4 linked regions of the Rhinolophus ferrumequinum genome follow. The protein of the gene in region 1 interacts with the protein of each later gene in a pairwise test. Links are inferred from orthologs where the notes say so. Each region holds a gene or a part of one and is shown in the gene's direction. Other genes may lie near its edges. The genes, in order: IPO13, PITX1, PBX4 and PAX6.

The links.
Region 2: the proteins of IPO13 (region 1) and PITX1 interact in binary tests that used the Homo sapiens proteins (3 or more experiments, as listed by UniProt). The link is inferred for Rhinolophus ferrumequinum from reciprocal best matches to the Homo sapiens genes IPO13 and PITX1.
Region 3: the proteins of IPO13 (region 1) and PBX4 interact in binary tests that used the Homo sapiens proteins (3 or more experiments, as listed by UniProt). The link is inferred for Rhinolophus ferrumequinum from reciprocal best matches to the Homo sapiens genes IPO13 and PBX4.
Region 4: the proteins of IPO13 (region 1) and PAX6 interact in a two-hybrid assay, tested with the Homo sapiens proteins (2 studies listed by BioGRID and IntAct). The link is inferred for Rhinolophus ferrumequinum from reciprocal best matches to the Homo sapiens genes IPO13 and PAX6.

What each region holds. Positions count from the first base shown.
Region 1 is NC_046292.1:31,055,610-31,063,626, forward strand, and holds the start of IPO13 (importin-13), read left to right. Parts: upstream 1-4,614; 5' UTR 4,615-5,474; coding exon 5,475-5,558; intron 5,559-7,382; coding exon 7,383-8,017. UniProt on the Homo sapiens protein: Functions in nuclear protein import as nuclear transport receptor. Serves as receptor for nuclear localization signals (NLS) in cargo substrates.
Region 2 is NC_046307.1:10,742,034-10,749,874, reverse strand, and holds the start of PITX1 (pituitary homeobox 1), read left to right. Parts: upstream 1-4,652; 5' UTR 4,653-5,038; intron 5,039-7,841. UniProt on the Homo sapiens protein: Sequence-specific transcription factor that binds gene promoters and activates their transcription. May play a role in the development of anterior structures, and in particular, the brain and facies and in specifying the identity or structure of hindlimb.
Region 3 is NC_046301.1:51,960,228-51,967,605, reverse strand, and holds the start of PBX4 (pre-B-cell leukemia transcription factor 4), read left to right. Parts: upstream 1-4,244; 5' UTR 4,245-4,291; coding exon 4,292-4,434; intron 4,435-4,595; exon of another isoform or gene 4,596-4,654; intron 4,655-7,378. Other genes in the region: LPAR2 (lysophosphatidic acid receptor 2), read left to right, coding at 1-37, 776-1,089.
Region 4 is NC_046294.1:25,537,350-25,545,369, forward strand, and holds the start of PAX6 (paired box protein Pax-6), read left to right. Parts: upstream 1-4,498; 5' UTR 4,499-4,634; intron 4,635-5,811; exon of another isoform or gene 5,812-6,039; intron 6,040-8,020. UniProt on the Homo sapiens protein: Transcription factor with important functions in the development of the eye, nose, central nervous system and pancreas. Required for the differentiation of pancreatic islet alpha cells.

The sequences.
Region 1 (8,017 bases):
ATGCTTCTCTACCCTGCTCTAAGCCACACATCAACGAGCTTGCCTGCTCTACAGCACCAACCTCCATCCAGTGACACCAGCCAGACACGTGAGCAACATTCTAGACTCCTTAAGCTCAGTCACTTCCCTTACCCATTGGTCCTCAAATCTTTAAATCTCGCAAGTGCATCCCCTTTTCTCTATTCCCAATGTTATTCTGTGGAGGCCTTCGTGATTTGGGGAATGGTTTATTCCCAAAACTGGTCATCCTCCTAACTGGTCTCTTTGAGGTCTCAACTGCCTCCAGTCATTCTCAAGCCTGCAGCCAGAGAAGTCAATATTCTCTTGTCATTAATTGAGCACTAACTGTCATGCACTGGGCTAGTTACGGGAATTCAGAGGTCAGCCAGAAACATGGTCTGCCATTAAGAAGACCATAGTTGGAGGTGGAGGTGGGGGAAGGGTGCCAGGTTTAGCAGATAAAAACACAGGACATCCAGTTAAACTTGAATTTCAGATAAACAATAAGTACTTTATTTTTATGTCTCATGCAATAATGGCTGGTATTCAAATTTAAGTTGGTGTCCTGTATTTTTTTTCTGGGAACCAAAAATGGGAGTAAACAAGTAAACAAAAAATGCAACCAACCGTCATAAGTGCCCCAGTAGAAGTATGACTAGGATACAGTTATGTGTGTCAGGGAGGGAGAAGACTTTCTACACTCACAAAGAGAGAGGACTCAGTTCCACCTGGATGGACGGGGAAGAAGAGCCAGAAAAGCCTTCATGGGGGAGGCAGCACTTGAGCTGAGGCTTGAAAAGTGACATATTTGCCAAATGTGAGTGAGGGGCATTGAGCCTGTACTGATTATCCTTTATCGCCTTCCTTATCTCTCAGCTTGAAATTCACCCTTTTCACTCACCATGCCCTGTCCATCGAGGTCTGGGTGTCAGCCTTGGGCAGGGGTTGGGGGTGAGGGCCTCTTCCTGGGCTCTCTATCTCATCCCTAGAACTCAGCTACTCCTAAATTATTTAGATTTCTCTTCACTTCTTACTAGCCGATCACTCTTTACTTCAATCCCATTACAGTTCAAAATTCTTATATTAAACTGTCTCTGTGTGCCTACTATGTGGTTTCTCCTGATTGGGCCCAGCCTGACACAGCCTTCTAAGCAGAGGCAGTAGCATGAACAAAGGCGGGGAAGTGTGGAACAGCCGGTGTGTCCCAGGATAGCCAGCAATTTCATGTAGAATTAGGGGGAGGCCCTCATCTAGGCTAGAGAGATCATAAAGATCCTTGAATGCTATACAAAGGAGCTTGGACTTTATCCTGAGTGGAGCCACTGAAGGGTTTTACGCGGGACTGGCTAAAGAGACGTTTCAGATGGATCACTGGCTGTTGTATCTAATATGAACTAGAAGGGCCAACGCAGCGGGCACCAGTTACAGCTGCTGCAGTCAGAGCCATTCAGGCAATAAATAAATGCTGGCCTTGATCTAGAGCAGAAGCAGTGTGGAAGGACAGACGAGACGTGAGGCACAATAAACAGGACTTGGTGACAAACTGGTGGTGAGCGCTTGATGAAAGGGAGGGTTTCCAGGGCTCTGGCTTAGGTGGCTGGCAAGGAACATAGAGGATGTAGTATTTTTAGCGTGTGATGGGGTAAGGTATGGGGGGGGTCATGAGTTTGTTTTTGTACATGTTTAACTTGAGGTGCCTGTGACACCTTCAGAGGGCAAGGACTCTCCGGCAGCTGTAACTCACAACAGTCTGGACCAGAGACATCTGGGAGTCACAGCTCCAAGCCAAACAAGTGGTGAGAGGTTGAGGAATAAGAAGAGAAGCAGAGGCTAAGGCCTGGAGAACCAACATTTAAGGAACAGAGAGAGGAAGAGGGGCAAGCCTGTGAAGGGGCCCAAATGGGAGTGGTCAGAGTAGTAGAGGAAACCAAAACAGAACAGGGGGAGGGAGTGGTCAACAGGGCCAAATGCAGCAGTAAAATCAAGCCACATAAGGGCTGAAATTGCCCATTGGCTTGTCTTGCAACATGGTAACCTAGGGACTCAGGCTAACCCTCTTGCTAAAAACAACTAGAAGTGCTAGACAAAACACATATTTTTAAAAATGAAATGCATCCATGAGCTGGTAAACATAAGAAATATTCAGGCCAAAAAAATAAGTGAAAGCAGGAAGCTACCAAGGTAAGCGAAGCTAAGTAGTTGGCTTTCACCTTGAGGGCATTTGCCTTACCTGGTGAACCCAAGCATTGGCTTGTGAGGGCTCCTGAGTTTATGGTGGAATCCTACCCAGAAACTTCTCCATAAGACCAGGACCCCAAAGGCTACTATCACGCTTAAGGATGAACTAGAAATAATCCTGCCCCTTTTCTACCTAACCTCTCTCCCTCAAACCAGGGGACTACAGAGAAAATTACTCACATTTCACCTTGGTGCAGTGGAAGTGGGGAAAACCTCCCCAAAATACTTAATTACAAGCAGCCCTTATTTAATTTTGCAAACTAAATCCACACTATTTTGGAAGGCTGAAAATCTTCAAATCTTCAAACCTTCAAAGAAGTTAATATGTCATAGTTATGGATTGCTAGTGGTTCCAGGTGACCAACAGAAGCTCCCTCTCCTCCTCTCCTGAGCTCTGGAATGCTCTCTCCTGAACGGGGAACCCCCTCCTAGAGTTGTCACAGGTTCTGGCCCCTATATATCCTACTCTTGTCACTCAGAGGACGGAAAAACCCATTTGTAACTAGCTCCCAAAGATTCATTCCTGACTTGGCTCTAAGTTATCGTGGATTGCTATCCACATCTCCTGAAGTCCCCTTTGATCTGGTACCCAGAAATGCCCTAACCCGCCTCAGGCCTATTTCAATCCGTCTGTCCTAGGTGATGTTTGTGAAGCATGTTCAGGAGCCATTGTTGGTGAAACTTGGCTTCTTTCTCTGCCAGGGGAACCTCCAGGGGCAAGAAGAAGCCTTGGATTGCAAGCAGAAAGAAAACGCATTCACCAAGTGGTGGTCTCTGGGCCCAGGCCTATTCATACACCATTTCATGTCCTTCATTGGAGAAATTCCTGTTCTCATTTTATTTTTAAAGTGAGTTTCAGAAGAAGTCAAGGTATTATGGCTAGAAAGAAGTACAGACAGGTTTTGAACATGGCCTAAGAGCCTTAACCCTCCCCGTCGTCCGCCACCTCCCACAGTAAAATCTGTTAATTATCAGGGCCAGGTCATTTCACAGCTCTAAGCACCCACTTGGAATCAGTTACTTTTTTGTGGCTTCCTGTTTCCTCCTTCCAAATCTCCCCTGCTTCTACTCTTTCCTCCTTCAATTTAGCCTACATACAACAAGTAGACTTTTCTAAAATGCAAATCCAGTCATCAGTGCTCACTTGAATCCCCATCATGGTCTCATATTGCACTTAGGATAAAGTCTAAACTCCTTCAAGAGTTTACGGCTCCCAACTTGTTTTTCCAACCTCACCTGTTACTCATCCCCTCCCCCTTCCTCACCCCACATACATTTTATCCCCTTAGCCTGAACACAAATTACTAGCTGTACTTCACTTTGAGAAAGATTTCTTGAGTGACTGAATTCCCACTGGACTTTGCTTATAAGCTAATCGAGTCCCCGTCCGCCCCAGTTTCTCCATTCTTCAAGCTCAGATCAAGTTTCTCCTCCTCAGGGAAGCCTGTATCCACCTTCTCAGGCCTCAGCAGCTATTGCCAACGCCGGCTTCCTCCACTGAGCACAAGTACAGAGGTCCTTTCCCTTTAGATGTTTCCCCACCCCCACCCCCGCCCCCTTTGGGGTAGCTGGCAAGAGTTGATAAAAGGATAAGTGGACGGGCACCAGAAAGGGGCTGCTGGGGTCTGCCGCCGACCAGATCTGTGGCTGCTCTCTGCTACCCTAGTTGAGTGTCCAGGAACAAGATAAGCTCAACTTTCCCCAACCTCAGTTTCCTCATCTAAAAATGGTGAATAAAAATACCCACCTCAGAACTGTGGAGAGAATTGAACCTAAGGTATGCAAAGTATTGTTCCTAGCACTTAAGTGTGAGCTATTCTTATTCTAATTACTCGTAAAGAGAAGTTGCTTCCAAGAAACTTATGGAATTCTCCGAGCACTGTCCATGGTATGCGGTTTCCCGGTTGCTCAGTGGGTGATTCTGAGAGCCGTCCTTTTTGATTCCTGAGGCGCGCCAAGCCCCCTTTCTTCTCAGTGGTGCTGACGCCTTCTTCCCAGACGGCCCCCAGGATGTACCCACAGCGGAGCACTAGAGTGCTATGCCCCCTCCCCCCACACACACTTACTTCACTCCCCCAACACACACACACCTTATCTCCAGGTGGGAGCCTGTCTGGGCTCCCACCTCCATCCACCCGCCCCTCGGGAGTCACACACTCTTAGGGAGCTGCTCTGCAGCTCCTCCCGACGGTTTGACTGGGAATGTCTCAGTGAGCCTGGGACTTGCGGGGCTCCGCGGGTCACCAGCCCACGTGCTCCGGTCTCAGTCGCAAGGCGCCGCCCCCCACCCCCGCTAGGCGCAACGGACTATATTTCCCAGGGTGCGCAGCGGCGGGACCTCGGCTCGGCAAAGGCCTCGAGCGGCACGCCGCTCCATCGCCTGCTCGGGGTCGCGCCGGCTGGCGCGAGGACAGGACCGAAGACCCGGAATGAGTTTCCGCGCAGTTCCGCTGGGCAGTGCCGGGCTGTGCCGGGCCGGGCCAGGGTAGGCGTAGGGGAGGGACGGCGTCTGAGTCGGCTTTGCCGGTGACAGGCGCTCGGGGCAGCCCGCGCCTTGCTGAGGTCCCCTCCCCATCCCCGCCGGGCCGGCTCGTCTGTCAGTCACTGGGGCGGAGGCAGAGGCTGTAGCGGGGCCAGAGCCGGGCGGTGAGCAGAGCGCGGGCCAGGCCGAGCGGAGGGGACCTGCCACAACCCCTCAACATTACGGACTCTTCGCCCCAGACTGTCGCAGCTGCACCCCCGCGCTTCGTTGGAACGCCTCCGTAACCCGCGAAGGGCTCTCTCCCCCGTGACCTCCCACCCCCGTGACCTCCTTATAGGACCCAGGAGCTCACTCAGACGAGGGTGTTGTGGGTACAGGCCATCGACCCTGTGACCCCTCTCGGGCCAGGGGCTCGGTTTCCCCCATAGGCCTCCCTCCCTTATGACTCCCTCCTCGCAGATTCTGGGAACAGAGCCGTGACCTACCACTAGGAGACCCCCCTGAGAACTCACTGACGGCTTCCTCCTGAGTCCCCCTCATTGGGTCTCCTCCTAAGAGCACCCCTTTTGCTTTCTGGCAAGTCCCCCACTCCCAGCCGAGGTGGGGAGACCTCGGCAGCCATGCCCGCCCTGGGTCCTCTGTCACCCCACCACTCCCTGGGCACCCAAGCCGGGGTCTAGCAGGCGGCCAGCAGCCAAGGGGCTGGGGCAGGAAACAGGTCAGGGTCCACCTCCCTGCTGGGGAAGAAGCAAAGATGGAGCGGCGGGAGGAGCAGCGGGGGGCTGCTGGGGCTGGAGAAGCACCAGCCCTGGACTTCACTGTGGAGAACGTGGAGAAGGTACGAGGGCCCTGGGGTGGGCACTCTAGTGACAGAGCAGAAGTTCTGGGGACTGACACTGATGCCAAGGCCCAGGCCTGGGCTGAGTGCCCGCTGGGATGGTGCCCCCAGGACACCTGGCATTTGCTGTCTCTCTGGGCAGGCAGGAAAGCAGTGTTACAATTTCTAATGGGCTATTTATGGCTTTCCTTAGACATTGGTCCTCTGGGGATAGATACTCTAGGGTCTTGGGATGGTCTCTCCAGAGTGCTGATGGCTTAGACCTCCAGCCAGACTGGCTATTCTCCAGCTCCGTGAGAACTGCATGAGCAGTGCAGTAAGAAACCAGGAGCCCAGGAGACCTGCAGCTTAGTCCCCAGGAACCATACTGATGCTGACCCATCCTGGACATGTTTTGTTGAGCCAAGGGTCTCAGAAAATAGTCTGGGACTAAAACAATCTGGATTGTGTTTTCACTCTTTCTTGGAGAAAGGTCCTTCCTTTATTGGATGGAGGCCAGACCAGCCCTGGGCAGGCAGGAGTAGGGCTGGCCCCCTTTGTTTTGTGCTGGGCCCAAGGGACCTGGTCCTGCTGGCAGTCTCGGGGTTCTTTCCTACTCACCTGCCCACATGGCTTCCTGCCATGGAACCCCCAGACTCCCCCACTGCAATCGTTTTTGAAAACTGCTTTTCTGGTTGTTCTCTTCTGGGTTTTACCTGCAGAGGCCTGAAATGTAGAAATGCATCCCCCCCAAGCACCCCGCCACCCATGAATGGTGAGATGGGGCTACCTTGCTGCAAAATTGGCAATGGTTGCAGATATTCATTTGTTATTCTTGAGCCCTGTTTGCCATACCAAATGGTGAGGATACATCCCTTCTGCTTCTGTTCTCTGCCTGCCTCTGCATCCCCAAGGGACCAAACAAGGACAATGACCATAACTGGCCATCAGGGGACAGATATGGCCTAAGCCTACTTGGATGGAGACTGCTTAGGGAGTCAGAGTCCTGGCCTCACTCTTCCACCGCCTGGGGCTGGGCAGTGTTGGCATGGTGGTGCACCGTTCCATGTGCAACCGGGGAGTTAAACCTCTGTTTTCTTACTGTGTGAGGTCGCAGTGGAATTGGGACCCTGGGGATTCAGCTAGTTGAGAGCTCCAGGCTCTCATTTGCCAGGGCTGAAGATCAAGACTTCTCTGGACCAACTTTTTGGACCCTTACGTGCGCTCTCTGAGGGGTGTTCTCATCCTTCTCTCCAGAATGTCTCTGTCGTAGGCTGCCTGGCAAAGTCTTAGTCCTGCTCAGATTTCACACTGGCTTTGGTGCCAGCATCTGGAGTGACCTAGTGATGATCCTGGGGGAGCTGAATGGAGCTTTTGGAGTTGATGGGAGCAGCTGTGTCTGGGAGGGTCGGGGGGGGGGGTCCCCCTCAGGCTCTTCCATGCTTTTCTCGGGCTTAGCTTCATTCCTGTGGAACCATTCCTTCCACCTGGGCCTCGTCCTTTACCTCAAGTGCCCCCTCCCCTTTGGCGAGCTCAGCCTTCTCTGTTTTAAATTAATAATAATAATATTATTATTTGCTTTCTTGTGGAGATTCACTCTTTGAACCCATAACGTTTTGCTATAAGGAGAAGAGAATATGGTAGAGCATGGGCCAAGTTCAGGTTCTTAAGATATTGGCAGGACCCCAGGCTCATGAAACTGCAGAGCCCTCAGCTCTCCCTTCCTGCTCGGCCCTCCAGTCAGAAAGAGAGAGCAGTCTTGCAGGACCAAGTCATGCCCCCGTTTCTGGGCTCGGGCAGGGTCCAAAGTGGCCAGCATCTGCTCAGGCCTGTGCTGTCCTGCAGGCGCTGCACCAGCTCTACTACGACCCCAACATTGAGAACAAGAACCTGGCTCAGAAGTGGCTGATGCAGGCCCAGGTCTCCCCACAGGCCTGGCACTTCAGCTGGCAGCTACTGCAGCCCGACAAGGTGCCTGAGATCCAGTACTTTGGGGCCAGTGCCCTGCACATCAAGATCTCTCGCTACTGGAGTGACATCCCCACCGATCAGTACGAAAGTCTAAAGGCACAGCTCTTCACTCAGATCACCCGCTTCGCCAGTGGTTCCAAGATTGTGCTCACACGGCTGTGTGTGGCGCTGGCCTCACTGGCTCTCAGCATGATGCCTGACGCTTGGCCATGTGCTGTGGCAGATATGGTACGGCTCTTCCAGGCTGAGGACTCGCCAGTGGATGGCCAGGGCCGCTGTCTGGCTCTGCTGGAGCTGCTGACAGTGCTGCCTGAGGAATTTCAGACCAGCCGCCTGCCCCAGTATCGCAAAGGCCTGGTGCGGACCAGCCTGGCTGTGGAGTGTGGGGCTGTCTTCCCGTTGCTGGAGCAGCTGCTCCAGCAGCCCAGCTCACCCAGCTGTGTACGTCAGAAGGTGCTCAAGTGCTTTTCCAGCTGGGTTCAGCTGGAGGTGCCACTGCAGGACTGCGA
Region 2 (7,841 bases), on another chromosome or scaffold:
GGCCCTGAGAGTAGGGCTGGCGTGCAGGGGAGCTGGGGGGCCAGCCTGGAGTGAGGCACTAGAGGTGCAGGTTCCCAAACCACCCTCACGACTCTGCACAAAACACACTCCCCACAGGGCAGTCGGCCGAGGAGCCCCAGAACAAACGGTAGTCACTTTGCAGCCACCAGTCTTGTGCATCCAGGATTCCTGGCTGAGCGGAAGCAGCCCCATTCCGAGGAAACATCAATATTTCATGGGCAGCTCCCTCCTGGCCTCCAATCGTGTTTTCAATTGTCACGAAACAATTCAGAATTTCCAACTCAGGGCTAATAGGCTGCCGTCAGCCGGTCAGCCCGAGCAGGCAGGAGTAATTATTTTAAAAGCTTCCGACAAGGCTGTTCGGCACGCCGCCTCCCAAACTGTGTGCGGTAGTGGCTGTGCCCCTTTGGACTCTGAGCTCCCTGTCTCCCCTCCCCTCCCCCACCCCACGCAGCAAGCAGACGTCTGGAAGGCACTGGCTGCAGAGCCTGTGAGGATGGGAGAGACAGACCAGGCTTACAGAAGGGTAAACCGAGGCCCTCTTAGGGGCACGTCTAGAAAGGCAGGGGCCACACGTCTTACTTTCGTATTTCCCACACCGACCTGTGGCCTCCTGTGCTCATGGTGGATGGATGAACTGATAAACAAAGAAAAAGATGGATGGAGTGGCTGAGTGAAGGACGTTGCAATACTCTGTTCCTCTCTTACCTCCTGAAGTCCATCCTCCACTATCCAGGTAGTGACCGTTCTAGAATCTACAGCTGACCAGACCTCTCACTGTTTCAACCCTTCATCGGTTCCTCTTTGCCTTCAGGATAATATCCCACCCTCCTAACGAGGATTATGAAGCCCTGTGGTATCTGCTACCCACTCAATTCACCAGCTTCTTCTTCCCCCATTCTCTGCCTTTCCACCTGTCCCAGTGCTATCCCACAGAGGGGTTGGTGGCGGTGGAAAGCTGTTCCAGACAAACTCAAGGCCTGTATGTCACTCAGGGCCCTTCAACACCAGGCTTCGGATTTCCTCTCCAGCACTGTGCTCCAAATACGTTTATAGGTTGGTGTGCCTGCCTCCTTGACTCAACCCAAATGAGCAGGAGCCAACCGTCTTTGTATCTCTGCCATCTCAGGCACAGAATATGTGCTCTTTAAACTTTTGCTGACCTGAAAGAGGCCAATCCAGAAAGGTCCCAAACCAGGGCTCTTTCCACTAGTCCATGCAGATGCTGATAGGTCTGCAACGAAAAAAATTACTTGAGATATCCAAATGGTTTCTATTTTTGCTCTGGCTGCCAGGAAGCTCAGAGTGCAATATAATAATGCTAAAATAAATTAATATCTTATCTGGTCATAAGGATTCTTCTCTAACTTTAGAGTCTCTAACTCGCTCCTCACAGATGACAAAGGGAACACAAATAGATGCCCCCCTCGCTCTGTGGATTCACCGCTGTATGTGAGTCAACAGACTCTGAGCCACCTCTCAGACGTTCCGGTAGCCCTCCAACCCTCCCACAGATGAGCGCAGGAACAATCCTGATGGACTTCAGACTCTCTCAACAGAGCCAATGCCTCCCCATCACATTGGAGTGGACGCCCTACTAACTCCATCAGCAGCCCGAAGAGAACCTTCACAGGGAAGGGACTTCTTTGCAAAGCAACCCATTCCCTGCCACCAGCAGCTCAGAGACCTTGTTCCAGGACAGCAACCAGTATTCCTCAGGGAGTGTGGTAAGTATTTCTTAAGATGGTGGAGCTCCCTTTTCACCCTTCTGGGGTGGAGCTTGTGACCGTAACCTGGTCATCCGCAGTCCTGAGCCACTCTTCCCCAAAAAGTGACTGGTTCAGCAGTGGGCATGTGAGCTGCACCTAACCAGTCAGCAAAACCAAATCCCTCCCCCCCCCCCAGGGAGTGTCCTATGGGTGGCAAGAGAGGCTCGGCTCTGCTCTCAAGCTTACAAAGTGGTAGGTGGATAACAGGTTTCCATCGATGATTACACAAATATTGATTTCAATACCATGGCTACAAGAGCGATGAAGGGAAAGGACACACTCCCTATTTTCACTGAATATTGAGATAAGAAACACAGCTCGAAGAATTGTTACGCCTGTCCGTGGAACTATGGCTGAGGACATTTGCCCATTATGTTTAGTACGACCCACGTGACAAATTCATCTCAGAGTTCCGTACTAGGGAGAACAACTTTTGATTAGAGGAAGCATGTCAGTTTGGAAGGAAACACAAAGCAAATGTGTCAGACAATTTTGCTGCCCTTTTTTGATTGGATACCTGGAAGCTAAAGTGATATTCAGACTGTGTTACTTCTGTTCCTGGTGGTTTCAGCTCCAACCTTCCTCTCTCTGACTGATCCCTCTTCCTTTGCCAAGATGGCGAAACCTAAAGAGAAATTGTGAAAAATTATTTTTCAAAGAAGTGAAAATAAGGTAATAAAAAACGTGTTTTGACCCACCTCAGTTCACCAAGAATTTCCAGGCCATCACGTGCTGGTCCCACCCCAACGGCTTGCCCAGCTTCCCTGGTCTGAAACTTGCTAGTAGCTAAGCAGGGGATGAGGGGTTTGTCAATTAAATCAAAGAAGGGGGCTGCTGCTGCCTTACTCAACCAACATGACCACCCTGGGGAAAGGAGGAAACAAAACTGTGAGCAAACTGTTTTAAAGAGCAAAGCAACCTGGCAGCTACCAGCATGAACATTCATCCTGGCTGCCCACCCCCACATAGGTCCGCACCCCTCACCTCCATCATCTCATAGATTTCTCTATGCCGTGGAAACTCTTATTATTCTCCCATTTCACAGATAGGGAAGCTGAGGCTGGGAGAGCTTATGTGATTTGCCCAAGGCCACAGAGCCAGTAAAAGACAGAAACAAGATTCCAACTCTGGCCATCAGGTCTCAGAGGCAGCTTTTTGGCACCACAGGCTCTGCCTGGGAACAAAAGCACGCAAAGAATCACACACACATGCCCAGTCACCACTGGGAAGACAACCAGGAAAATCACCAGTGTGCAGGGGTAAGAAGGTACAGTTTCCTAACACAAGCGCCAGAGTGAAAGCTTGATGCTTGCTGGGCCCTCCATACACAGTAAGGGTCCAGTTGCATTATGTCGGAAGAGGCCCCGGGAGCCTGGGGTGTGGAGGGGAAAGCTGCTTGAGACAAGGTCGGAAGAGTCTCAGCTTAGCAGCTCTGGGCCAGACCCGCCAACAGACCAGTTCCTCACATAAAACAGCCCTCGTAGCAGCAGGAGAAGCAGAGGCTAGAATTCCTGAAGTGCAAGCTCCAAGCTTGTGTTTCTGCCACCCCGGGACCAGGTCTGAAATCACGGGAGCCAAGGACTCAGCTCTTAACCCTTCCAGTCTTGTGTGCACCAAGCCACACACACCCACCGGAAAGGTGTTCCCACTGTTGAGAGTTGAGGGGACGCTGTGGATTACCCAAACAGCAGGGCAGGGTGCAGGGGCCAACCCTCGATCTGAGCGCCAAAGCCTCCCGAGCTTGGGTCAGGCAGGCTTCTGCTTTGGCTGTCAGGAGGGGGTCCTGGGTCATCCTGTTCCCGGGCCAGGTGGCCCTGGAGGCGCGGGTGAGCAGGGCACTGGGGCAGGCGCGGGGGCCGTGGCCTCTCACAGCAGCTGTTGGTGAGAACCAGGCAAGGAGGCGCCACCGATGACGGCACCTCATGAAACATTGATGCCCGGCCGCCGCACTGCCATCTCCCGGCACCTTGAGCCAAAGCTGCCGCCCTGGAGCACCGCAGCCTCCGGCGGGCAGGCCCCACACTCCTGAACCTGAAGGTCATCGTCCCCTGACAGTCTGACCAGCAGACCCACTGTCCCGTCCCAGGGCCCAGGCTCACACTGGGCACTTGGGGGAAGCAGGAGCCTGTTCCACCGCTTGCTTCCCCCACAAGGCTTCCCGCCGGGTTATCCGGTCATAGGCAGTCCTGGAGAACCTGGTGGCCTGGAGAGCACCCAGTCCCCCTCATTCCTGCCCAACTCCCAATGGCCACCAGCCAGGGACAGGACAACGGGGCCACATGGATTGCATCCTCTCCAGTGTGAGGGCCTGCCAGCAGGGCGACCGCTGGAGGGTGTGGAGAGGGGCTGGACGAGGGGTTACAGAAGCGTCTGTCCTTGTGGGGTCGGTCTCCCCTTTCCTCGTCAGCCCAACCCCTGAGAGGAGGATGTGGGAGGGGGGCAATCCTCCTAGCAGGGCAGGTCGGCCAGTTGCCCCTCCCCAGTCACACACACACACACACACACACACACACACACACACACACACACACACACAAACCCTGGGGTCTGTCCTCAAACCTCCTTGGCAGCCAAGCTCTGCTCCGAGGACTCTCCCTGCCAACTTGCAAGACCAGCTCCCTCCCGCAGAAAGGGGAAAAGGTCGAATCGCAAAACCCGGCTTGACCGTCACCTGGCAGGACCCTGGGAAACTCCGACCAGACCCGGACTAAACGTTGGTCGGGCTCGGCCCCTCACGTGCCAGGTGGGAAACTGAGCCCAAGGGAGAGAAAGTACGCGGGGCCTGGCCAGGACTCGCCGTGGCTTCGTCCGCATGCGGCCGGGCCCCTCCTCCATGAACGCTGTCCTGTGCTGCGTTCGCCGTCCTCGGGCCCCGGCCATCAGCCACGCCGACGACCCCTGCCTGCGCCTCGAGGGAGGCCCGGACCCCTAGCCAGCCGGACTGCGCGCCGCCCCCTCCCCGCTGGTCCAGGCAAGAGCCTCGCTTCCCCTCCCCCCTTCCCGCCTCCCAGGCCCGTGTCCCCGCCTTCCCCGCAGGCGACGGGTGGCGGCGGCAGGAGGAGCGGGCCCTGCCGAGGCAGCCCGGACCTTGCTCACTGGGATGTAGCGAACCAGCGGGGACCAAAGCTGCGCGCACAGCCGGGGACGCAGCTGGATCCGGGACCCGGCCGAAGTCGAAACCTAAGCCGGAGTCCGTGGCGAGCGAGCCCGGAGCCGACGAGCCGCACACGCAGCGCAGCCCGGGTCGGGTAAGAGTTGTTGGGCTAGGGGCGCCGGGTCTCCGCAGTGTTGGGGCGCAGGGAGGTGGTGGCCGAGTTCTGTGCTGTTTACTCCGCGAGTATGTAGGGACCAGCCAGTGGAGCGGGACTAAGCACATCGCGCGGAAGGCCAGGGTCCATCGAGGCAGCGCGAGGAGCTCGCTCCTACGCCAAGCGCACGGTCACAGCTGCCATCACCGGGCGCTACCTCACCTAACCGGTGGGCACACCCTACGCTTCAGCTCCGGGTAACCCAAAAGGGCAGCAGGCTCAGGGGCGCGGGCCCCAGCCCTGCGAAGGGCATAGCCTTGCATGTCTTTCACAGCCCCTCGTGGCGGCGCGGGCCGCAGGGTACCTCCGGGAGAAAGGGCCGGTGACAGGGCCACCCGCCGCTCCCCGTTGCGCCCGGGAAAGGGGCCCCAACACGAACGGAAGCGTTGGCCCCTCTGCACGCCGAGGGACTTCGGCCTTAGCTTCGTGTCAAGAGGGTATTTTTCCTAAACGAAACCGCTTCATTCGTTCGCTCGTTCGTTCCGGCAGCTATGCCGCAGAAAAGCCTCAGACGTGGGCCGCAGTCCCGGCGCTCTTCGCCGAGGATCCCGACGTCCCACCGCAGTGCTGGAGGCGCCCCAACCCCCGGCGGCCTGCCTCGCCGGCAAGGGTCGGGCTTTTCCTTACCCTAAGAGAAACCCCAAATGCTCTTCGCAAATCCAATAAAGACATCCCCGCGGCTTCTTCAGGGCGCAGTGGTTGACACAGGGAGCCTAAGCACGCAGCCGCTTCTCTAGACCCGGGTCCGGAATTCTGAAATTGAGCAGCCTTCTGAATCTGAGCGATTTGGGCCGCGCTAAAGCAAGGGCCCCGTGGGCGGCATCGCAGAAATGGGGATCCCAGGCTGGAATCCTTGTTCCGAGGTTTTCCGATTTAGGGATTCCCTTAATCTAAACTATCTGTGTCCACTTTTCTGAGAAACTAAGGCTCGGGTATTCTCTTGGCATTCCCAGTGGTCTCTGACAGCCACCAGGGCCAGAGGGAAGGCAACTCCAGGTTGCTGTCCACTTGGTCAAGGACACAGGTCTGGGGTGATGGCAAAAGCTACAGGCAGCAGGGGCAGCACAGGAGGGGACTTGCTGGCCCCTGCCCTTCCCTCACTGCTTTGGGACTCCTCATCTCTACTCAGAAAAGTTAAAAAGGTGGACGGGGACATGGAGACCAGGCTACCTGGATTCTAGGACACAGAGGTGGTATTTGCTGACCTTCAAGCCAGGCTCAGAGTGCCTTCCTCTCAGGAAAGCGGCTGCTGGGAAGAGGAGACCGTGGTAGCAAAAGCTGACCCTCTGCTCCCCAGGTGTGTGACAGCCCCTGCCACTTCCCTAGCCTTCTCTTCCTATCAGCTCAGCTGTTTTGGGGAACCAGATAGCGACCACTGGACTGGGGTGAGCTGTGAGCCCAGAGAGCGATGGGCCCTTACCAGCTGCTGACTGAGCGTTCTGAGTTCCGTGCTCCCATCTCCGCCCCATTTAGCCAACCTGGCTGAATACTTCTCAGCTCTTTCCCCACCAGGACAGGCTGGGGAACCCCAACTGACAGGAAGTTTCAGGCCGGGGTCCTCTGAAGCCTAAAGAATCCAGTAAGATTGTTCCCAGCCTCTACCTGAGTACCTCTTTTCCCCTCACCCAGTAATTGCTTCTATTCAAAGAAACAAAAGCTTTTTTATTGGGGAGGGGGTCTTAAAACCAGGCGGAAGGCAGTAGGTGGTCCCGTCTGCACTCCCAAAACTGGGTTTTCTAGTTTGAAGTTCCCCACGGCCTAAGAGGCTTAGGGCTGGAATGTCCCAGAGTCACGGATGGCCCCAGCGGGCGTGGGGGGTGGGGGGCAAGCCATGGCACATTCCTTCCCTTTTCCTAAAATCCCTTGATTCTGGCGCAGAGATTAGGGCGGAGTACCCTCATGAGTGGGTGGAAGGATGCCCTCCATGAGGACCCTCCAACCACCCTTCCCAAATAAAATGACGAAAGCATTCTTGGACACAGAGTCTGTTTTGAGTGAGACCAGCCTCAGGAAGGGTCCCTGTGGTGACGCTTCAACCCCCACTACAGCCCAGGCTCCTCTCTGATCAGCCCAGCCGGGACTCTAAGCCCCAAATTTCCTGAGAGTCACAAAATCATCGCTAACTCTGTGTGGCCTGGAGCCACGGAGACTGGGGCACATGGTTCCAGCCCCAGTAAGCCCCCTTCCCTCCTCTCCACATGTCCCATCGTCAAGCGGGCTGGAGGCTGAAGCAGAAGGCAGGGATTGCTGTGTCCCATGTGAGACAGGGGAACTGAGGCACAGTGCAGGTCAAACCTTGCCCAAGGTCACACAGCAAAGCCAGGGGAATACTGGACCCCTACATTTACTCCTGAAAGAGAGCTGCCTCCTGTTCTGTGTGTTGGTGTGACTTATCTGTGAGAGTGCAAGAAGCCCCTACACTACCTGGGATGGTGGCCAGTGGAGGGTGTGGCTGGGGAAGCAGAGAGAGAGTGCCCTGGTCCCTTCTCCAGCCAACACCCAGGATCAGGCCAGGGCCTCCTTTTTATCCATCACTTCCTCGCCGTGCCCCCACCCCATTCCGCACTACCTGTCCAGCAGAACAGACTCCCCAGGGAAGTTCCCAATAGTGTCAGCCCCTCTCTAGGGCTCAGGGCCCCTGGAGATATGGAGCTTCACCTACAATAGCCTGAGGGCCTTTCCATCCACACAGCAGGCATCAAGACTTCCAAATATAGGGAGTATTGTGACTGCCTGGGTCATT
Region 3 (7,378 bases), on another chromosome or scaffold:
ACGCTCAGCTTGGTCAAGACTGTTGTCATCATCCTGGGTGAGTGGGACCCCACTTCCCCCAACTCCTCCAAGACCTGATGGAGAATGATGGGAGGCGATGATTGGGTGGGGAACGTTCTCCAAGGAGGTGATATCTCAGCAGAGACCTGAATGCTGGAGGAGGGAAAAGAGTTCCAAGCAGAGAGAACAAGAAGGTGAGAGTCCAGGCAGGACCCAGCCAGCACCTCCAGAGAGGAGAGGAGGTCAGCACGGCCTCAAAGGGCACAGACGGCAGTCTAATTTTGTTCTGAGTTCCGTGGGAAGCCCTTAAGAGTTTCTAGTAGGGAGTATTGTGGTCACTCTGGCTGTTGAAATGTAGGGTGGTCTTTGTGGAGGTGACAAGAGGCTTTCCTGTTAGGACACACACACACACCCCAAGAACAAGGAGCAACTCTTCCCAGTGATCCCCTTCTCCCCACCAAGTAACTGGTCTATCCCACAGTGACCTCCTTTCCCCCATAAAACAATCCTCCACGTACGTGTAGAAACATCCAGGGCTAGAGCCACCACGTACCAGATAGGAAAGGTGTCCCTTCCAACAGACAAATCAGAGAAAGGTGTCCCCTCTTAGCAGTTCTGCCTTGTCATGCTGCCAAGGCAGCAAGACAGGCCACCCTGGCACTGCAAACCACAGCCCCTGTCCAAGCTCTCGATACCCCTCCAGTCCTGAGCTCAGAGCCGTGGGTGCCAGGCCCCCCGACAGCTGACCCTGCTCACCTCAGGCTCCATCCCACAGGGGCATTTGTGGTCTGCTGGACACCGGCCCAGGTGGTGCTGCTCCTGGATGGTCTGGACTGCAAGTCTTGCAATGTCCTGGCTGTGGAGAAGTATTTCCTACTCTTGGCTGAGGCCAACTCACTGGTCAATGCCGTGGTGTACTCGTGCCGCGATGCTGAGATGCGCCGCACCTTCCGCCGCCTCCTCTGCTGTCTGTGCCTGCGCCAGTCCACCCGCGAGTCCGCCCGCTGTGCATCCTCTGCCCGGATAGGTGCCAGCACTCGCATCATGCTTCCTGAGAATGGCCACCCATTGATGGACTCCACCCTTTAGCCAACCTTGGACTTCAACAGGATGCAGCAAGTACCAGATGGCACCCCTGACAACTCGTGGATGTGCCTGGCTCAACCCAATCTGAGGGACAGAATTAAAGGCAGACCCTTGGTCTAGATGGCACGACACCACTGCCAGGCCTTCCCAGATACAACTCTACTCCAGGGCCTGTGGGTGTGTGGGCATCTGGCTCTTCAATGATCTCAGGTTGTGGGGTTTTTAATGAACATTTTCCTGTTTTTACTGCACATCCCTGGTAAACCCTGTGGACCTTTTCCTTGTCCGTGGTGGTATGGCTGTTAAAGGTGGGAGAGATGAGGTCTCTCTCAGGCCACGCTGCCCAGTATAAAACAAAGACGGACCGTGGATACACCTTCTATCTGCCTCAGGCTGATTCTCCAGGGGCACAGACTGAGAGGTGCTCAGTGGGAGCTAGGAAAGGTGTGTGGCCCCTTGCAGCCTCTGGAGCTTGCCTGTCCCCATTAGACTTAAGGGCTTCCATGGGGGAAGGGCATGTTAAGAAGTAAACCCTTCTTCCTCCTCTGAGGTCTCCAAAGCACTTTCTGTGATCAACTCAGTCTGTTGCTGTGTCGCAGAATTGTCCACCTCAGCTTTAGCCGGGCAGGGATCCTTCCACATGGCATCTCCTCAGTCCTGTTCTCATTCACCTTCAGTCTCTGACTGGCTGTCACTCCATCTCTCTTGGAGTCTTGCGTCTGTTCCCTCTTGCTTGTCTTCTCCACTTCTTCCCCTGCCTCCAACTTGCTGCCTGCCTGTCTCCATTCTCTGGAACCCAGAGTACTCTGTGGCCTGTGTGAGTCTTCTCTCTCCCACCTGCCCTTTTATCCGAGTCCAGGTTGTTACCAGTTAGGTGTGTCCATCCCATTGCACACCACACTTATGGGCCAGAGGTACTGGCGTCCATGGAGCAGGGTGAAAATTCGAATTTGCCATTTCTCAGGCTCCTCTGATGTTACCCGCACACTGGCAAGCATTTTAGGTGCATTATTTCATCATTGCCTGCAGGTATTACACTTACTTGCACGTGAGGACAGTGGCTCAGAGGTTAAAATCTGGCCCATGGGTACACAGCTTTGAAAGGGTACGGAGATGCATCGAGGGACTATAGAGGCCCCTGGAGAAAGGGATTCAGATTCCCACAAAGTGTGGAGTTGATCACAAGCTCAGCCTGGTTTTCCCCTCAGCTCACTGCCCCCCAAGGCCTCAGACATGCCATACTCGGGATGATGAGCCCCCTCTTTGATGCTCATAGCTAAGCGTGGTATAGACCAGGAGACAGGGTGATGACCCACTTCACGTTCACATTGAATAACAGCCAAATTTGAACCCAGGCCTTCCATCAGCGGCCAAATTCTTAAAGTAGTAAAGTATGCATTGCCAAAGAACCAAAAACATCTAGGTCCTTCTATATTAAATGAGGCTGGGATTCCCTTCGAGAAAACCCCCTGCCGTAAGGCAGCTCTGTGAGGAAGCAAAATGAACTGGGGCACTGGGTGCTTCTCCAAGGTCCAAGGTGGGCAGCATGGCTCCTAGGGCCTGAGGCCTGAGCCTCCAGAGGTGATAAGCCAGCAGCTTCCACCATGTGCCTGGCCACATGCCCATGAAAGATGCCGTCCTTGCCTCCATGGAGCTCTGGGCTTTTTGACAGACATGTCACTTTGGGGGCCAAGGCAGCCAAGCAATTCCTGTAGTTTCCAAAAGGCAGCTCTGTGTTTTACTTGCTCTGAGCTGGCTACTCTTCAAATCAGTATCCTCCAGATTCTAACTCACACTCCTTAAATATCCTTTGGGATTTTGTCCCTTCAGTTTTTTCCTCTTGTGGATCTCTCTTCTCTACCAGGTGACTTCAAGTTTTCATCTCTGCTGGTCCTTGAAGTTTTCAAACACTTACCCACCCACCCACCCCCACCTCAATCTCTGAAGGACACCAAAGTTACCCACTATTTTCAGGCCTCCTGTGCAAGTGCTGTGCCAGCAGCTAGCTGACATTTTGTACACGGCATCTGCTCTCTATGGTGCCCACATGTTCTAGTACTTCCTGTTATGGGGGCAAAGTGGGGGGTTTCCTTTGTTAGGGAGCTTTCAAAGTTGTTCTTACACTGGCCCACATCATTCATTTCCATTCCCTGCTCTCTCTTTTGAAGTCCCCCAATCAAATCACACCAGATGGTTATTGCGTTTCTTCTCCAGCAGCAATGGGAAAAAGACCCTGCCCTGAAGGGTTGGCAGCCAGGCTGACCTTTTATGAGCCTCCATCTGGAGTCTGCCCTCAGAGCAAACAAGCTCAAGGCAGTCCCATTACTTTGGAGAAGTAATTCGTGTCCAGTTTGTTCCTTTTCTGTCACACTCTGGGGTGCATCACAAAGTAGGTCTTCTGGAAGCATCCATTCATTCGGTAACCAAGTGCTAGGGTTTTCTAGGCCTGGAATGCTGCAAAGAGAATGAATAAATGAGAGAGGTCGCGTTTAAGCCAGATCTTGACAGCTGAATAGAATTGACTTCTACAGCTGAGAAAATCATTGTTCTAATCTCCCAGCCACCGTCATCACAAACCTGTGCGCCTCGTGGAAAGCTCCCAGGGAGGAACCAGGAGGCTGGGAGTCCTAGTGACCCACCTGATGGTGCTGAGGCTGAGGGGAGCATTAGGGGATTGAGCAGGGGTCTGGGGCTCGGACTTCTGGAGATGGATGGGGTTTTGAGAGCCATGGGAGGTTCTGAGGACGTGTGAGCTGCTCTGAGAAGGGGGACTCAGGAGATGTGCGGGTCTCAGGAGTGGGAGGCTCAGATATGAGGGCCTCAGGAAGAGTGGGGGCTCTGAGGAGGAGTGGAGATTGAGGAGTGAGGTTCTGAGCGGGAGCTGCTGCTCTGAGGAGATGCGAGAGGCGGATATGGGGGTGGGGGGGCCTCTGAAATGGGGCGGAGCCAACCTCACCCTCTCTAGGGCAAGAGGAGGGTGGAAAATGCCGTTGCCTCGGCAACCCCTAACCGAGTCCTGGGCCGCTGAGGGGAGCTGTTAGGGGCGTGTCCGTGGGCGGTGCGCGGCGGCCTGGTAGGCGGCGGGGGCCCGGCCCAGGCGCGCGCTGCTCCCCAGGGGCGGCGGCGGCGGCGGTTGGCTGCGGCGCGAGCGCAAGTGCTCCAGGCCCGGCGGCTCCTCCTCAGCGCCCGCCCGGCCCCACAGTCCATGGACGCCCCGCCGCGCCCCGCGCTGCCGTCCCCCGCCCCGTCCCTCCCGCCGCCCGGGCCCCCACCGGGCCATGACACGGGCGACGTCCTGCAGCAGATCATGGCCATCACGGACCAGAGCCTGGAGGAGGCGCAGGCCAGGTGCTGCTCGGGGGCGGGGGCCGCCCAAAGTGGAGGCCGTGAAGGGGGCGGGTCGAGGGGCCAGAGCCCGGGCGGCATGGGGTGTGAAGCTGAGGAGAGGGCTGAGCGAGATTGTGGGGTGCGTCTCTGAGCCGGGATGGCAGGTGTGGGGGCCTTGAGGAGGACGACGAAGGTTTTTATGGGGTTAAAATGGAACGGATTGAACGGCCGGCCGATGGAGGTAAGCAGAGGGTAGTGGGTTTTAGGAGCTCATCTTGGTGCGAAAGGGGTGGGTTTAAGGGGAGTTTGTAGATGGGGAGGTTTATGGTGAAAGGTGGTTTCGGGGTTTATGCAACGTAAGGGAAGTGTTGGGGTGTAAATGGATGGGTTAGTGGGATTCGTGAGGGTGGGAAGTTTTGAGGGCTGATAAAGGAGAGTGAGTTGTGGGACTTGGGAAAGAATAGATGGTTGACGCGGTTGTGGGAACCGTCGGGAAAAGTGGTTAGTGGGGGAGTTGGGTGGAAGCGAAGGACGCTTTTTTATTTAATTTGGCAAATATTCATTAAACACTATATGCAGAGCACCTAGCCGGGTGCTGACATAGTTGCTGTTCTCAAGCTCATGGTTTGAGGGAGAGAACGTAAGTGCAAAACACTAAGTATACATTGTGAGAAAAGCTGTAGTAAGAAAAGGGATGGCATGCAGTGGGGAGCCAGATGGAGGAGGCACAGCACCGTCAAAGGCCCGGAGGTGGGAAACAGCAGAAAGAAAGCAGAGCCGAGGACTGAAAGTCCCCAGCTGAGTCTGGAGAGAGGCTGGAAGCAGATCACACAGAGCCTACAAGTCTCAGAGTTTGAGGCTTTTGTTTGTTTGTTTTTCAGCTGCCATGGGAAAATCACAGCAGTTTTAAGACCACTGCCCTCTTACCCCCACTCACCACTGTCAGCCAGCCAGGATTGGTAAACTCTGCTTCACAAAGGCAGCACATTGTGTTTGGGACCTGCTGGAATGACAGTGGTACTTTGGTTTTCGAACGTAATCCGTTCCGGAAGACCGTTCGAGTTCTGAAACGTTCGGAAATAGCCGACAGCTAGGCCTCAGCATCTTGCACTCAGTGGAAGCCCTGTGACATGTTCGACTTCCGAGGCGTGTTTGAAAACCGAAGCATTTACTCCTGGGTTTATGATGTTTGTAAACCGAAATGTTCGTCAATGGAGACGTTCGAAAACCGAGGTACTACTGTATAGAAACTAGGAAAGGACCAAAGTCCTTTTGGAGGGTAAGGCCTTGTTGAATGGGGGCTTGTTTGGGGGAGAAGGATGGTCCCTGGAATGGGATCAGGGTCTGGTGGTGTGGACTGTGCAGTCATTAGAGCCCTCTAGTGAGGAGGGGTTAAAAAACTACCGTGTTTCCCCGAAAATAAGACCTAGCCGGACCGTCAGCTCTAATGCGTCTTTTGGAGCAAAAATTAATATAAGACACGGTCTTATTTTAATATAAGACCGGGTATTATATAATATAATATAAAACCGCGTCTTATATTAATTTTTGCTCCAAAAGACGCATTAGAGCTGACGGTGCGGCTAGGTCTTATTTTCAGCCCCAGGAAAGAGGAGATAAAGTAAAAGGTGGATACAGCATTCATTTGTTCTTCGTCCTTTCCTTTACTTCTTGTGGAAAGTCAACTCTGCAGTTTCATAACCTCTACCTGAGGGTTAGGGGTGTCACCCCACAACCACGTTCACTCTACTCTTTGGAGCATTGTGCTAGGTGCTAGAGAAACCAAGATGGCTAAGATATTCTCTGCCCTCTTGGAACTCATTGAGAAGCAGGGTGTGTGGGAGACGAATTTATAAATAGTTATATCAAGAATATGCTGAGTAGAGATAATTCTGGGCACGAAAGAGCTGGGCTGGGAGAGGGTGTCTTTGTGTGATGCCCTGTTTGCTAGACTAGCCAGAGAGCAGAGGCTTTGTTGTACTTTCCTTTGTATTCCCAGAGCTGTGCACAATAGCGTTCATAAAGTTTTGTGGCACTTAGCTTCTGGAAGGATTCGCAGGACGTGGGGGAGGGGGGAATGGGCTCTTCATACCCCGGTGCTCTTCGGTTTGTGGCGCTACCTGTGTTTCTTCTGTTCTGGGGGGAGAGTTGCTTAACCAATGAGCTCTGCCCAGCTGTGGCCTTCCTCAGGCCACAGCACAGCCACAAAGCTGTTTTCTTGTAGCCATCTCTTGAGACTCCCCTAGACAGGCTTTAGAATAAAATGCAGTCAGTCACCTCTTCCTTGCTGCTCTTGAAGACAGCTCTTCTTCTTTTAAGGCTAAGAAATTGAATAGTGGGGCATTATACATGCTGACAACATGGCTCTTAGATTAGCTGGTTCTTGATTTCTTTCTGTGGTAAAAAAGACTCCCTGGGGCTTTTAGTTTGAGATCTGGAAGCTTCAGATCTGCCCCTCTTCATTGGAGGTAGCCTTTAGATGAACTCTAAGCCCTAAAAGTCCCACAAGTGCAGACAACAGTCAGTCCCCAGGTGGGCCGCGTATACCACTCTGGAGCAAACAGCTTGGATGGGTCATTTCCTCAGTACACTCTGCAGCCTGGTGAGATTATCAACCTGAGATCATTCTGCACCCCCCACACACACCCCCACGGGAGATTGTGTCTTACTTACATCTTTCTACATTATCAGGGAGGCAGCTCCAAGGGCTGCTGAATAATTTATTTTGTCATTATGGCTAACTAGTCTCAGGATAGCCACTGTGTATTGTTCTTCCTTCTGACTACACAGATAGTGGAGCGATATCAGGAACTTTGGGATGCACCATCGTAGTTTAGATGCAGCCCAAGTCAGCTGGAGACTGTCTGTGTAAGTGGCGACCAGTCTCCTTGAGTGATCTTGTGACCTTAGGCTACACCCTGACCTCTTCCTGGAGAAGGGATAGTTCCTCATCTTCTGATTTGAA
Region 4 (8,020 bases), on another chromosome or scaffold:
TTGTCCTGTCAATGCCTGGAATCCTTATTTATCTCTTTAGCTTGCCTCCCGCTTGCGCCTGTCAGCTAACAGCTTGCCTAACTCGTTGACTTCCTCACTCATGGCACGGAAATGACAAATGTGCTGTTTTATCCGTACAATTTATTTCATTATTGTTGCCAGCACGAAGCATCACAATCAATCATAATGAAGTCCAGTTGGCAGGTGTCAATCTTGGTGTGTTTTTGTATGTCTCAGTCTATATTTAATCCAATTATAAGGGTCACAGAGTAAGTGCCAATCCTCTTGTTACAACTCACATCTTATTTAAGATTTAAAGTAAAAAAAGTCAACTCAATCACATGGTCCTTTGGGGGAAGGAAGGGGGATGCCTTTGAAACCCCCATCTCTCTCTCTCTCTCTCTGCCTTCTCACCTCCAGTTTAAATTACGCAGCCATCCCTTTTTATTAAAGAGTTGCAGGGAATCCCAGTTTTATGCGCATTTGTGTGCAAATGAGGCTCTCCTTATTTTGCTAAAGTAGAAGCAGGCTTAATGATGAGAGATCTTTCCGCTCATTGCCCATTCAAATACAATTGTAGATCGAAGGCGGCCTTGTCACGTTGAGAAAAAGTGAATTTCTAACATCCAGGACGTGCCTGTCTACTTTCAGAGAATTGCATCCAATCACCCTTAGGGAATTCAGCTAATGTCTCTGTCCCCACCCAGGCAAGGGAAAGAAAGAAATCAAACATGGTGCCATAGACTGACTGACTTCACATGAAAATGTTGAGAAGGAAAGGAAAAGCAGAGTTTTCTCAAATTGATTGTAATCAGGATTTTCTTAGTGGGAAAGCAAACTGGAAGGATTCGGAGATTTTCCCAAATGTCCAGGAAAACTTTATGATGGGATAGAATGGACAGGAGAGGAACCGAAATATTTCTTTGAATGAGAGCAGGAAAATAATTGAACAGCAGAGATACCACAATACTGCATATAACCATGCCATTATGCAGTCTTTTAGACCTGAGTGAAGAAATGGCAAATACTAACTTCGCTAAATATTTTCCTTTTTTAATGCTCAGATTCACAAAACATTCCTCCAGTTTTTATTTAAAACAAAATCTTGTTTTAAAAAGCTTGCCATTTAAGGAGAAGGAAGTGAAGGGGAAGGAAGAAAGAGCAAGAGCCAAATGCACTGCCCGTTAAGTTTAATATATGGATTTCTGTCTTGTACAGCTATTTGAAATAATGCAATACACAGTATTTTTCTCAATTAGTCAGGGATTTTTCCCTCTCTTTCTATTATTGTTTTATGCAAAAGATTTGTATTAAACCCTTTTATAAATTAGTACCCTCCCAGGAATAATTTTAAAAATAGAAGTTAACAGGATGGAATATGTCCAGACTTAGTAAAATGAAATTAAAATACTTAAGTGGAAAAATCCATTTTTTACTTTCAATTGTTTCTAGAATGGCCAGATCCATTCTCAGTGAAAAGACAAATACTAAATCAATTCCCACCCACCCTGTAGCACAGATCCTGGAGGAGAGGCTTCCAGTCTGGAAGCTGCTTTATTTGCATAAAGGAGAGAGAGAGAGAGAGAGAGAGAGAGAGAGAGAGAGAGAGAGAGAGAGAGAGAGAGAGAGAGAGAGAGAGAGAGAGAGAGAGAGAGAGAGAGAGAGAGAGAGAGAGAGATACTTTGGACAAGAACTACATATATCAGCTACAGTTCAAGCCCAGGACGGATCTATCTTCCCGTCCCTTTCTCCTTCCATTCAAGCCTTGCTCTCGAACCATTCTTCTCCTTCCCTTCCTCCACTCCCCTCCACTCCTACCCCCTATCTCAGATCCCTCACACTTTCCCCATTCCCCACCTCGCCTTGGTGAGCTGGAGGGGAAGCTCTGGGCTTCCCGGCAGTCCTAGGCCAGGGAACCCCCGTACACCCGGCGGCTGCCAAGCTCACTCACTGCTATTGTGAATAACCAGAGCTTGGGACTGCCCTAGGTATCGGGGGATTCCTGTTTCTGGACCTTTTCACCCCACGTACAGCCCGCCTCCTGTTGCACTCCGCATCCCTGTGTTACGAGTCGTCGATGACGCCCCGGAGCCGCCCGCGCTGCTGGGAGATGCGGCCTAGAGAGTCGGCCTCTGCCCAGGCGGGGCAAGGCCGGGCCTCGCAGGCTGAGCACTACTATGGGCCGGGCCGGGCCCAGCCGCCCCCTAGGCAGGTGGCAGGCTCCCGGGTCCAGAGCTATCCGGAGACCAATCTTCGGCAGCAGCTGAACTTGCACCCTCCCCCGTGGCGACCCCGGCGCAAGCTTCCTCCCGCCCAGTCTTCTGTGCCCGGGGCAAATGGAGAGCGGCTCCTGCGTTGGCCCGGAGCGCGGAAGGGCCTAGCCAGGCCTCGCCTCCACCGCCCCGCGTTCCCGCGCCTCCCAAGCGCGCCCTTTATTGACAGGCAGATAAGAAGGCCCGGGCCGTGGCGTTTCCAGCGTCGCTCTTGAGCACCCTGCCGGGTTGCAGGGATCCGCACACATTTAATGGCCCGGACTACAAACAATCACGGAGCAGCCTTCCCGGCGGCCTCCGTTCGGGACAGAGGGTGCGGGTGGGGAGAGAGCTGGTGACACCAACTACGGAGCTAAGGAGGCCTGCTCAGCCCCGGGGCCTACACGCAGTCCAAACTGTAAGGCAAACCCTGGAGCGGGCGAGACCTCGGACATCTGGGGCCGAAAGCTGGACCAGGTCCTGGAGAAGAGCTAGGGCTCTTGCCAAGAAACTAGGTCACTAGAGAAGGCTGGTGGCGGTGGAGAAACCCTAGCAAACACCTCTCTGAGTACCACTCCCCAGCAGTGCTGGGATTGGGGAGACAGGACCACAGCAGGGTTCTGGCTCAGATGAGAGTGGAGGGCGGTAGGATGGATGTTCCTGGCCCCTGACACTGGAAGACCTGAGGGTTGGGATGGGGAGAAATAGTGGGTACCGGTTGTAAATAAGGAAGATCTCCACGCTTAGACCACTCTGTCTATTCTCCCATTCTCCTCTTCACTTCTATCCTGCCTTCAGGGCCTCGAAGGGCTGAGGGAAAAAAAATCAAGTCAGGGAGCTGGCTGGCCCAGTGGAGAGGAGCGAGTAGGCAGACTGCCTGGAGCCTCCTCCCGGCTGGTTGCGAAGCCCCACACCTGTCCAGGTGTGCCCGGGGCGGGAGCGGGAACCTCTCGACCTCTCGTGCGCCATCTGTGCTCCGCTCTCCTTTTGCCGCACCCACCCAAGCAAGGCGAACAGGAACTGGTCCTGGAGCCTCCTGCCGCCGAGGCGTCAACCTCCTAGCCTCAAGAAACACACGCCCGGGTCTACCAGGGCTAGGCGTCCCACGAGCTGCTTAAAAGCCAATCCACGCCCCACCACTTCCCCTCCTGCCACCTCGTCAAGCGTCCCTGGCTCTCCCTGACGGACCTCTGTCACTTCCAAGTTGGAGACTCGGATGGAGGCTGAGAACGAAGGGAATGGACATTGAGAAGCCTCCTCCCCTGTTGAGGAGGGAGAGACCCGGGAATCACAACGCGGGTTTAGGTCCCCATCCCAAGATGCCCGGCTCGACTAAATTACGTATCTCCCAATCCACATTGGGTGTAAGGGGAAAACAAGCACAGACCACCAGGTCAGTATCCTGCCCACCCCGCCCCAATTTCTGTGGTTTCCTGGGCCCCGGGAAGGGGAATCTTGACTTCAGAATTTGGGACTTTCCTATTTTCCTCCTCTAGGCCACAGAGTCAATAGTTAACCCCCCAAGTCAAAGATTAATAAAATCACCTACATTTTCTACGTGACTGGAGCCTTTCAACCCAAGGAGGCGCGAGAAGCCAGCGGAGGGTGCCGTTTGTGGCTCCCCTCAGAAAAAACCAGCAGGCCTGGAGAGGATTTTGGCCTAGCCTAAGAGAAGCAATCGCTCTCGCTCGTTCTTTCCCGGGATCCCCGTCTGTGCCTAGCTGGTGACTTGTAAGCCTATAAGCCAGTTTTAGGGTACCCATCGCTCCTTGAGCTCCTCTTGAAAACGATTTCCTCTAGAGGACCCTCTCAACCCCGGTGTAACCCCGGTGTGTCTCTGATAAAGTGACTCCCTCGGGAATGGAAGGAGGGGGCCAGGTGGGCACCCAGAAAGGTAGCTGGCCAGCCGAGAGGAGGGACCCACGTTCCAGGAGGGAAGAGCGTACTTAGTAGGACTAGTTTCTTTGGGGTGACTCAACGCCCTAAGGGAGAGCGGGTCGGGTTGGGGTTGGGCTGGGCGTGAGCAGCCAAGGGCTGGGCCCAGGCAGGCCACCGCAGGGCTTGGAGCGGGCCGGATTCGGGGTGGGGAGGAAGAGGCTCCCGCCGGGCCTGAGCGCTGGTGGGCACGGAGCTGAGCCCAACTCTGGCCGCCATGACGTCACGCGTGCCGGGCAGCCAATGAGAACCGCGCTGGCATGGATATTAAGGAAAGTTAGCGCTTGCTTGAGCACCCTCTTTTCTTATCATTGACATTTAAACTCTGGGGCAGGTCCTCGCGTAGAACGCGGCTGTCAGATCTGCCACTTCCCCTGCCGAGCGGCGGTGAGAATTGTGGGAACCGGCGCCGCCAGGCTCACCTGCCTCCCCGCCCTCCGCTCCCAGGTAACCGCCCGGGCTCCGGCCCCCGCCCGGCTCCGGGCCCGCGCCGCCTCTCCGCTGCCCGCGACTGGTGCCCCCAAATCCAAACCCGCCCCAAGTAGCCCGGGAGCTTGATTTTTGCTTTTAAAAGGAGGCATAAAAGATGGAGGGGAGTTACAGGGGGCGGAATCAGATAGGGAAGGAGGGGGCGTCTTGTCTTTGCCTAGCGTGTTTTTCTGCAAAAGTAGCAAAATGTTTCAGTCCCCAGAGTGGACTTCCAGTTGGGTGCTGAGCTGGGTTAAGGGGGGCGGGGAGAGGGAGATCGGGATCTGCTACTGTCTGCAGAAGCCGTTCGCTACCGTGAGAAATGCAGGGGTGGGGGGGATGCAGTTTGCACCTAGAACACCCCGAATCACAATTCACAACATTCACGCGTGGAGACGTCCCCATCCGCGCCTGGAGCTTGTGGAAACGCCCCGTCGCGGACCCGGCGAAGTGCAGCAAAAGTTTCCCGCGGTTGCAAAGTGTAGATGGTCGGACGGAAACAAAGTCCTAGAGATGGGAGTTCGTTTCTCAGAGAGGAGCGGAGGACTAAAGAATGCTGCCGGCAGAGCTGGGCAGCGCGTAAAGCCCCCAGCGTGTGATTTGAGCTTCACTTCGGAAGACCTAATAATTAGCGATTCTCACTGAGCTAGAACGCGGGCTCGGGTTACCGCCGGCACAGCGCTGGCTGCCTCGGTGGGAAGCCTGTGAGCGCCAGGGGGGCCGGGCCGCTGAGTGCCGGGGAGAACAGCGCCCGACTACTCTCCTGCCCCCGGATGGCCCAAGCCGGGCTCCAGAAGTTTCTCCAACGTGGGTCAGGGAAGGGAAGACCCCATACTTAGACTCACTCGTGGTTCTGCGTGGCGAAAGTTGCAGAAGGTTAGCCTCAAACAGCCAGGAACGCCTGGGCACAGAAGCACCCGCCCGGAGGTTGGGAGGCCTCTAGGTCAGGCCGGAGCTCGCCCCTCATTCCCACTTTTGCTCCTAGCGCCACCTCTCTAGAGGTTCTGGGTGTTCATCTTTGGAGGACGTTTGTGTCTCAGGCACCTATGACAGGTGCTTGGGACCACTGCCCAACTCCGAGCGGTGGCCGACCCCTGCCCACCTCGCTCGGGAAGCAAGGGAATGAGAGAAGTGGCCACCCGGCCGAGCACCTTACCTGAGTCTGGGTCCTCTCCTCGGTTCCTTTCTCCAGAGTTGAGGGGCGATCAGGTTGCCCACTTAGCTGTGGGAAGTGGACCTTCCCCTCTAGTCATAAATCAAACCCAGCCATCCTCGGGCCTCCTCCCTCATTAGAGATGTTTATTGGAGATTGTGTTTATTCGGGCTGTCACGGCGAGAAAACGCAGTGACATAATTGCCTCTGACCAGAGTCTTCGCGCCGCGCCCAGAGCAAGCCGGGGACCTCCTCTGTCGCCTTCTCACTCCCGTGCCCTCCTTAATCGGAGGGCGTATGTGGTTGGCTGGTCTTTTTTTTCCCTCGGACCCTCTCAAGTAATTTGAATTATAGAACGAGCTACTATTCAAATATCCCCTGGGCCTGGCGTTTACTTATTTATTTATTTTAGAATTTTAAAGGAAAACCGGAGGGAGCTTAACGCCCCTCCAGGGCGGAAGGGGGCAGCGCGGGAGAGATGGAAAGAGAGTCCCTCTGGCTGCGCAAACTTTCTGGCAGGTCCGGCTGCCGCGCGCGGAGGCCAGACACCACCCGGCGCCAGAGCCTGGCCTGAGCGGTGGGGAGCTCACCCAGAGGAAGGGATGCCACGGATATTGGTGGTGTTATATGTTGTTTTATTTTTCATTCTCTCTCATCTCGGGAGGAATCTGAGGCTTCAAGGGCCTAGGCTGAGGATTCTTAAACTTTCCCGGCCGGACTCCTCGAACCAACCTGCCGCTCCTTCCCCGCCTCTCGCCCCGGCTGCCCCCGGGCTTCAGTTTTCCCCGCTGGCCAGGTTTGTAAGTCACCATCTGTGAGACTGAGTTAGGAAGTGATGAAAAGCGCCGAATTGTTCTCTAATTGAAAATACTATTTTTTTATTTTTTATTTTTTTGGTGACCGGGCTGACAAATATGTGGGATCCCGGCTTTTGATCCCTCACTGCTGCCTCTATTCTCCAATCGCTAATAAAACTCGCATTGAGCCCCTTAGTGCCTTGATTAACAGGCAGATTAACTCTTACTGGGGTGGGGAACAGCTTGTCCCAATCAATGTCATTTTAAGAGCCCGTCAGGATACGCTTAGCTCCGGTTCCCTGGCTGCTCGAGCGAACCAGCCATGACATTTGCTCCTTCCCCCTCCCCCAGCTTCATAACCCCCAGCAAAGCCCCTAGTTCCCGGCCCGCGTGTTCCCTGCTCCACGCCAGGACAAATGCTAGACTCGGTCCCTGGCCTTTAAAATAGGCAGCTGTTTAGAGAAGGGATCTCTAGGTCTCGAGAAGGAACTGAGGTGGCCTTGGCTTTCTTTTCGTTTGAAGCTGAACTCTTGACTCTTGAGGGCGGAGGTTACAGTGAAAAGAGAGTTGGGGAACCGTCGCAGTGACAAAAATGGAAAGCAAACTTTCCTAGGAACCCTATTTGCAAAAATCAGAGAGTACCACTAATTTCAAATGTCCCACACATCAGGAGTTTTAAACCTGGTCCCCATCTGGACAGCAGCATGTAGAGTTAGGGAAGCAAAGGCTTAGGAGTCCGGAGATCTCTTGGCTAGGAAACACAATTGGACAATGATTTTTAAAAAGTGTTTGGGTGAGAGGTAGAGAAAGAGAGACGCTTGCCTCCTAATGTGAATGGAAGAGGACCGAACCTACTTGCCATTTGGCAGGAGGGGAGGTAAGGCGAGGGCACCGCAGCTCTCTCCAGCCGAGCGTGACCACAGCCTGGAGGCGCTACCCGGCCGGCTCCCGGCTCTCTTCTGCTTCCCGGCGCTCGGGTCTCTGCGAGGCTGCGGGGTGAACTAGAAATCTGCAGGTTGCCGGGGAAAGAAAGGGGGGTAAAGGCCTCGTGTGGAGGAGGCACCCCAAACTGAGCGGTAGCGGTGGGTGCCTTTGCCTTTCGTGCTCGTTTGACCCTTTTCATCAGCTCTGCTATCGAGGGAACCCACCTTCCCAGGGCCAGCAAAGAGAGAGCCGCTTGAGGCTCTGCAAATTGACGCAGGTGTCTGCGGAGACTTTCCTCCTTCAAAGAAAAGCTCTTCTCCACCCTCCCCAGAGCGCCAGCACCGCGCCTCTGCTTGGCGGTGGAAAAGTGGCAGTTCAGAGGTGTCACAACACCGGGTGGAAGATTCTTGGTTCTGAAGCCGTACGCCGAAAGCACATCTCCCGAAAACTGGTCACGTTTTTGCCTTGCCAGAGGCCGCCTTCGGACCGAA